Linked DNA regions of Oreochromis niloticus. The protein of the gene in region 1 purifies or fractionates together with the protein of each later gene. This does not show direct contact. Links are inferred from orthologs where the notes say so. Each region holds a gene or a part of one and is shown on either strand. Other genes may lie near its edges.

Region 1 (3,759 bases):
TGTAAATGATTACAAGCTACCAGTATCAACCCTTTCATGTTTACATATAGGGGAAATAGCTAAATGATAGCTTCTGATGCACTGTAGATGATGAAATCCACAAATCCTTTTTTTTTTTTTTTTTTTACATTTTACATTGACGATATTATGAATTGTTCCACCTTTCAAAGATTTGACCTCTCTGGGGAGCTTATTTTAGTGCCAGTCATGTTGCTGACCTCCTTCCAATCAGCCTAATTAGCTCTGAGGCATTCAAGCAGGAGCTTTTTAGAGCATTAGACAATTTTCACAGCTTTTTTCTCTCCACTTTTTTCCCCAAATGTGATGCTGGCCTTACATGATAGGAATATATTTCTAAAATGTTGACTGTGTTGCCTTAATTTTTGCATTAAGCCCAAATTGTCATTTCCCAGCATGTTTACCAGTTTGAGTCTGTGCATATCTTTGTTTCTGTTTGCTTTCAAAGGCAATAGTGAACATTATTTGCCTTTTGAATAATTACACTTAAGGAGAAATGTGTGTTTCCATTAACAGCACAAAGGCGAGATTCTCACCTGACCAAAGAACAAGAGAGTCGGCTGCCAGCTCACTGGCTGAAGAGCAAAGGAGCCCACACCACCATGGTGGATGCACTGTGGCGTCTGCGTGACCTGATGTTAAGAGACTCTCTGAACATCTGTCAGGCTCACAACCTGTAACCTGTTGGACTTACAAACCACTCTGCTCAGTCACTGCTCTTATCCTCAAGTCACGGAGTTTAGCTTGTAGACCCTAGAAGCAATATTTTATAGTGAATCATGAGCAATTTTATATTTATTAGCTAACATAATGAGCTGAACAGTTAATTGTGTGCTGCATTTCATTTTTTTTATACCATTTGGATGAATAGTTCTGCTTAACCTGTGATATTTGGCTTATTGGTGCAAATAAATTTGTCAATACCCCAATTAGACTGTGTCCTCTTTTTGTTGTTGATGAGGTTTTTTTTTAATGTGATTACCCTCATAACATGTTTGTGTTTTACTCCTTTGTGCTTCACAAGCCTCTCGATCCTGAATGATAATATTTGAGATCGTGGAAGTACTTCCTCCTAGTCGATGTCACTTCCTGCAGAGTGAAGCGAGATAGTACCATTCTCTTTAGTGTTTGCCCTGTCTTCCCAATGTCCACCTCCTCACCGCTCGCATTTCGATATCAAAATAACGCACTGTGATTCTCCAAACTGGCCATTAACAAAAGCAAACGGCCGTAAATCAGCGTGTCATGTGGAGTAACTAAAAACCGCACAGAAGGAGCGACGAGGTGAGCTTTACTTTGTGCTCAGACTTTGTCGGCGTTAGCTAGCTAGCGGTGACACCGGGTGCTCCCAGCCTCGATTTGAATTAAACAAGATGTTTCCTCCCCTTTTTTCTGATGTATTCATTTAATAAACAAATTTCAAGTGCTGTTGTCAGTGAGCTGTGGGCGTTGTCTTGCTGTTCTCAGCACCCGTTCAGTAACGGGGCTTGTTTTTGCAAAGATTGTCCTATCATGTCCACCCCTGCCATTCGTAGCGAATAAGCTAGTTAGCGAGCAAGTTTCTTCTGTAGAGCTTGTACATCCAGCCGGCGGCCTGATTTTAATTAGGAATTAGCTGCCAGTAGCTTGTGCTGCTCACAGCTAGTCAAATCATTGACGAATATACAGGTCCAGAAAGCCTACCAGACAGTAATCGTGGTTGTTTGCAAGCGGCTGTATCAGCTAACCACCTAGCCTCAGTTTTTCGTGTTGTAAGTCGAGCTAATGGTAAACATTTTTTCTTAAACAAATTAGTTATTAGTATTATTTTTGTATCTAATAATGCTTAGCATGAGATGCAGGTTACAGTCGTTGCATGTAAATGGTGGTTCTGCTCTATCACAGTTAGTGAAGGCTCCCAGGGCCCCTTTGACAGCACGGACCCTCCCAGCTGTGGTTTGAATGAGAACAAAGTGATTTCAGTTTTTATCAGCAGCATCTTTACTGTGAGATCAAGGCAGCGAAAATGCTGTTAATAAAACATTACTGTGCTGTATTATTATAGGCACTATAATAGGCACTACGGTGTTCCCTTGGTCACTTGGCAGATTATCACTTTTTGTGCCAGTGATTCCATGCGTTTTTGTTTCCCATGTTTCCAATCCTTTTTGGCCATTTAAAATACCTTTTAGTAACTATTTTTATATTTCTTGCAGTTTCTGGTGTCCTCTTGGCCAGATTACTCTTTGACAAAACAAAAATGGCTTTTAATGAAACTTTTTAACTGGTTAAAAATGGATACATAATAGCCATAAACTGATTCTACCTTGTGATAGGAATGTTGTTTGTGGCTCAAGATAACTTGATATCATTCATGAGGGATACATTTGACATATGTTTCACATAGTATAGGCCAACAAGTTATTTTTAGCAGTTTAAATACAGCCAATCACTTTTTGGCAAAGGCTGGAAATCAGTTTTTGGCACAACACTGTTCTTATAGGCTGATTGATAAAGTTATCTCCCCAATGTAGGCAAACTGGGTGAACTGTGCTGGGACCCGACAGATATCACTGTTTCTGTCCTGCTTTTCTTTAAATTGGCAAATTGTCTGTAGTGCTCAAATGAACACAAAATTTGTATTTAACTACCAGTCAATGTATTTAACAGTCAGTCAAATGTCTGCTACTCACAATGAAATGTATTTACACCCTTTTGGACACCTCTTAAACCACCGTTAAATGGGTTTCATATTGTTATGCAGATGATATCCGATTGTACATTTCTTTTTCTCCGCCTCACAATGTTCCAAAAATATCTATCCTTCATGACGTTAATGATGCCATAAAGCACTGCATGGCTGCTGATTAAATTTTAGTTATTACTGGAAAAACAGAAGTTGTTGTTTGTGCTAGTGGCAGCTCAATCAAATGTCAGAAATGTAGGCGTTATATTGGACCAATTTCTTAGTTTTGAAAAACACAGTAAGTCTTTACCCATTGAAAGCCTGCTAGAAGTAACCATTGAAGCTCTTCTGAACTGAGCAGTTTCTGTCATATTTCAAGCGTGCTTATAGAACAAAATGACTGTGTGTGTGTGGCAGAAGTTGGTGAGGGTGGTCTCTACCTGGGCAGCTACCGAAACTATTCTTAAGGCCCCAAGACCACATCTTTATTGATATATACAGAGATTCCAAACTTGTCATTAATGGTACAGGGAAAGTTGTCAAATGATGTCTTTATGGGGAAAAGCATTGTGCGATCCTGCTTTTTTTAATCTACAAAATATTGTGACACACATTTTGTTGTCTTAGTGGACTTGCCTCCCATTAAGTTCTTACTTAAGTTTAAGATCTTGGTGATCACTTTCAGAGATTTGCATTATCGAATGCCTGCTTACATTTGTGAACTCTTTCGTCCTTATATAACATGCAGATAATTCAAGTCTTTCTGCTCGACACCTATTGCCAGACTGAAAACTAATGGAGACTGTGCTTTCAAAGTTGCAGCTTCAAACTATGGAATGCACTACCATTACATTTGAGATCTGTGGACTGTATTGAAACATTAGTTTGAATCAATAGAAAACACATCCTTCTACATCTTGAATAAAAAGGAAAATTGTTTTGTACATAAGCCAGGATTTCTTCATTGCATTCCCGACTGATTGAATTTGCTAGAAAGAACATTTTGTTTTTGGCAATTGCAAAATGCAGAAAAATAAATAGTAAATTCACATAGTCCTGTTTAAGACCACTTTTTT
Region 2 (3,759 bases), on another chromosome or scaffold:
TACAACAAAGCGAATGAGTGTAAGGATTAATAGATGCATGCAACCAGTTTGGAGACAAGTAGATAATTCATCTGGGCAGCTTTGTAAGCAAATCATAGCCATAATAGGATTGGGAATGTTCTTTCTCACACACACACACACACAGCTGTTATGAGGGTCTTTGGAAAGAAGGGATAGGCGAAGTCTTACCTGTTGATAAACCCATATCCATTCCTGACGTTGAACCATTTGACTGTACCCAAGACTTTTGTTGCTTTAAAAAAAATAAAAAATGAACATGTATTAATGATCATTTTAGATACATGTCTGTATTTAATAATTCTTCTAATAATGACAAAGTGTAAAATAAGAACAGACCATGAGAAAGTGACACGTTTGATGTGGAAGTTAAATATAACTCCCAACTGTCATTCCTATTATAGATCCCGGCGCTTAGGAGTGTCTTGTGCCAGCTGCATTTGGTGTGAGGTATGAACCGTCACGAACACCATGCACGAGTACCACGAATGAGTACCGACTAGATTACTTCTCGTGTGAATTTCAAGACTTCATTACCCCTATTTATAACGTCCCTTTCTACTGTGATGCCATCCAAATCAAAGATTTCAACATCATCATAGCAGGCCGCTGTAGCTAAACACATTGACTTAACTACAGCAGACCTAGTGCCCCATTTTAGACGCACTACTGAGCGTTCACACGTGGTAATCGCGCCCGGATATGTTAGCAAGCTCAGCTGGCTTGTTAGCATAGCTATGTAGCTGAGAAGGTCTGAACCATGTGCTTGGATTACTGCCAGCAAGCGGAAATGAACATAACACATCGGACAGCTTCTATTGTGACCAAATGCTTAGCACGTAAAAAAAAAAAAAAATTAGAAAAAATGCCACGGTTATACTGGTTTCAATTAACAACCAACGAAATGGCGAAAGAAATCAGTGGAATACACGGCGGACATTTTGGATGGCCTCTTTAGCCATGTAAATAGCTCAAGTTAGCTGGCTAAGCTAACATAGCTTCGCAAACAAGCCAGCAACCGTCGGTCGATTGCTAGGCCCTAACGAGACCTCATCAATTCCACCGAAAATAGTCGACCGCTGACAGTTGTGCTCTGGTGAATTTCCGATCAAATCCAAATATAATTCGCTGCTAATTGTAACAGTTAAAAGTCTGAACATAGTTTCGAGTGTTATAGATTTTTTTTTTTTAATATTTCACCAGGGAGCAAGACTCGTGCGAACAAAGGACGGCAAGTCGCTAACGCTAGCTTGATTTCGACATAATTTGTAACCGGTAAAGCCAGTGGATATTTCGGTGTTCCACAAATACGGCATTAAAGTTAACTTTATTACTTTAATACATGATTTCCCATTAACTGTCTGCCTAAAATCAGCACCGACGTTGGCGTATATACACAGGATCCGATAACGGCCAGAAACCACTTCAGCGACCATTTACGTGACGGCCACCCGGTACCACGGCATTCTATGGCGTACGTTTGACGCGAGGAGGCCGATGAACAGGAAAGATTGAAAGTCTAAAATACCTCATTAATACCTTTTTAATACTCATGTCGTCTAAAATTATTTAATATGAAGGCCAAAGTGTTAGCTATTAAAGCAGCGATGTATAAAAACTATATATATAAAAAAAAAAGCTTGCACTGTCTGGCTTCCAACCGATAGTTTAATTCTGTATCGCTAGCACGTAAACGTTTAGCGTTTTTCAGACATCAAAAGAAGATTAGTTTAACTTTTCCTAGAAAGCTTCTCGTTAGAAAACGCCAACACACTGAATAGAACATAGCCCATGAAATAATTCAATTTTAGCCAAAACTATACTGGGTCCCGTTGGCTAAAATAAAAATTTCCCTACCATTACTTAACATGTGCTAACGTTGTGCGGCTCAACGGCCGTTTCTAACGAATGTATTTTAGTTTAAGGTAGACTGAGCTGTGGATCGAGTTAACAACATTAGCAGCACCACTTTTGCGCATTGCCTCTGTGCCGTAAAACACGTTAGCTATCTAGTTAGCTTAACTAGCTCCAGCAGTCTTACCGATGACCTTCTTATCCCCCGCGGAAGCTGCGGCTGCCGGGCTGGATGGGCTCTCCGCATCGGCAGCAGGCTGCGGCGGTTGTTGCTGTGTCTCGGCCTCGCTGCTCATTGTTACTTGTTGGTAATGGCTTCAGCCGGCGGCGGCTCTTTGCTATATTTCCCGGTGCTAGATGGTAACCTGGGCCGGCGGTGGTGGGGGCTACTGCCTTCGGGCTCTCTGCTTTCCTCTTTCCGCTCCCGTTGCCGATCTAACTGGGCAGAATGAGATGAGGTGCCGTGGAATGTTCCTACTCGGAGGTCCGCCCAACTGCCATTCTAATTGGTTGGAAAGTGTAACAGGAAACACTCGCGTTCCAATTAGCCAGAGTAACTGTCAATTTCGCTTCAGAAACGCGTTGGGTAAAATGATTGGGTAAAGGAAACCGTACCTGTCCATTCTCACCACCCCTTTATGATGTCAGAGCCAGACGAATCAGACTGCATAACCGTGACAGTTTTGGAACAGTGTCTACTTACTAAAATCTTGTTCTGCTGACGGATTTGGACCTAATATGCATATAGTTTAAAATATAATTGTAGTTATCATTATGCAATATATAAAATTGCAAATAGTGTGATTATCGTGTAATCGCATGCTTCAAATTCGGAGCAAAGTCAGCAGTTTAAGAGATCTAGAAACACAAAAACACGGGCCCATTAAGAAAGACAATGCCTGAATGTTTAAAGTATTTTCAGTTTCATTTTGTACGCTGGTTAAATGAAAAATCGATATACTGTGTGTGTGTGTGTGTGTGTGTGTGTGTGTGTGTGTGCGCACCAATGATGGGAATAACGGCGTTATAAGTAACAGCGTTACTTTTTTCATTAACAAGTAATCTAACTAATTACTATTTCTATCTTTACAACGCCGTACCCGTTACTAACATGAAAATGCGGTGCGGTCGCGTTACTATTTTTCAACAAACAGACGGCTGAAGCTGTGTTCATCTTACCGCACCTTATATCAGTTGCATGGAAGTAGCTGTCTACATAAGTAGTCTGGGCGCTACAGCTTTAAGTAGCTGCGGGCGCTCCCGCGGACGGCAATCACTTTCTGGCAGACGATCACTTTTTGGCACAACACCTGGAGCTAAGGGGGGCCAAACAATCCCATGAGTGCTGCAGTTTGACTGAGAAAGAATATAGTAGTCGTAGTAAGACTTGGAAAGCTCTGCACAAGAATTCCAATGTACATGGACTGTTGGTCCTGTGTGCAAATGGCAAAATAAAAAATCTTGAATCCTGAATCACATGACCACTTCAAGATGACAAAGCAAAGAGGTGATATATACCAGTTTTTAAATTGTGCTGATAGGCCACGTAACACAAGAGTCATGACAAACAACATATACGTGGTGTTTTTTCCTGAATACTATGGTCACGTTTACCCTCTAAGGGCAGCGCTAGCAAGCACTATCTGCTTATGACCAAAAAAGAAAAAACAAAACAAAAAACACCCCTTTCGTGTTGTGGAAAAATGTACAATGTCGACCAATCAAAAAATGATATAGAAACATGGCATTTGGTTGTTTAGGAAGAGGGAGGAAGTTTTAGGAGTGACGGAGAGAAAGAGAGCGGAAAAATGAGAGAGCAAGTTTTAAGAAGTGAGAGATTTGTGACGTTTGGAGTGTGTAATTAGTGTGTTTTCTTGTGTAGTTAGT

What was found. Proteins that work in one complex are often made in the same cells at the same time.
Region 2: the proteins of stau1 (region 1) and ybx1 purify together in Homo sapiens (affinity purification with mass spectrometry; 3 studies listed by BioGRID and IntAct, with this or other methods). This does not show direct contact. The link is inferred for Oreochromis niloticus from reciprocal best matches to the Homo sapiens genes STAU1 and YBX1.

The regions. Positions count from the first base shown.
Region 1 is NC_031970.2:16,668,374-16,672,132, forward strand, and holds the start of stau1 (double-stranded RNA-binding protein Staufen homolog 1), read left to right. Parts: upstream 1-1,103; 5' UTR 1,104-1,302; intron 1,303-3,759. Other genes in the region: protein polybromo-1, read left to right, coding at 535-698. UniProt on the Homo sapiens protein: Binds double-stranded RNA (regardless of the sequence) and tubulin.
Region 2 is NC_031984.2:24,180,924-24,184,682, forward strand, and holds the start of ybx1 (Y-box-binding protein 1), read right to left. Parts: upstream 2,337-3,759; 5' UTR 2,169-2,336; coding exon 2,060-2,168; intron 254-2,059; coding exon 190-253; intron 1-189. UniProt on the Homo sapiens protein: DNA- and RNA-binding protein involved in various processes, such as translational repression, RNA stabilization, mRNA splicing, DNA repair and transcription regulation.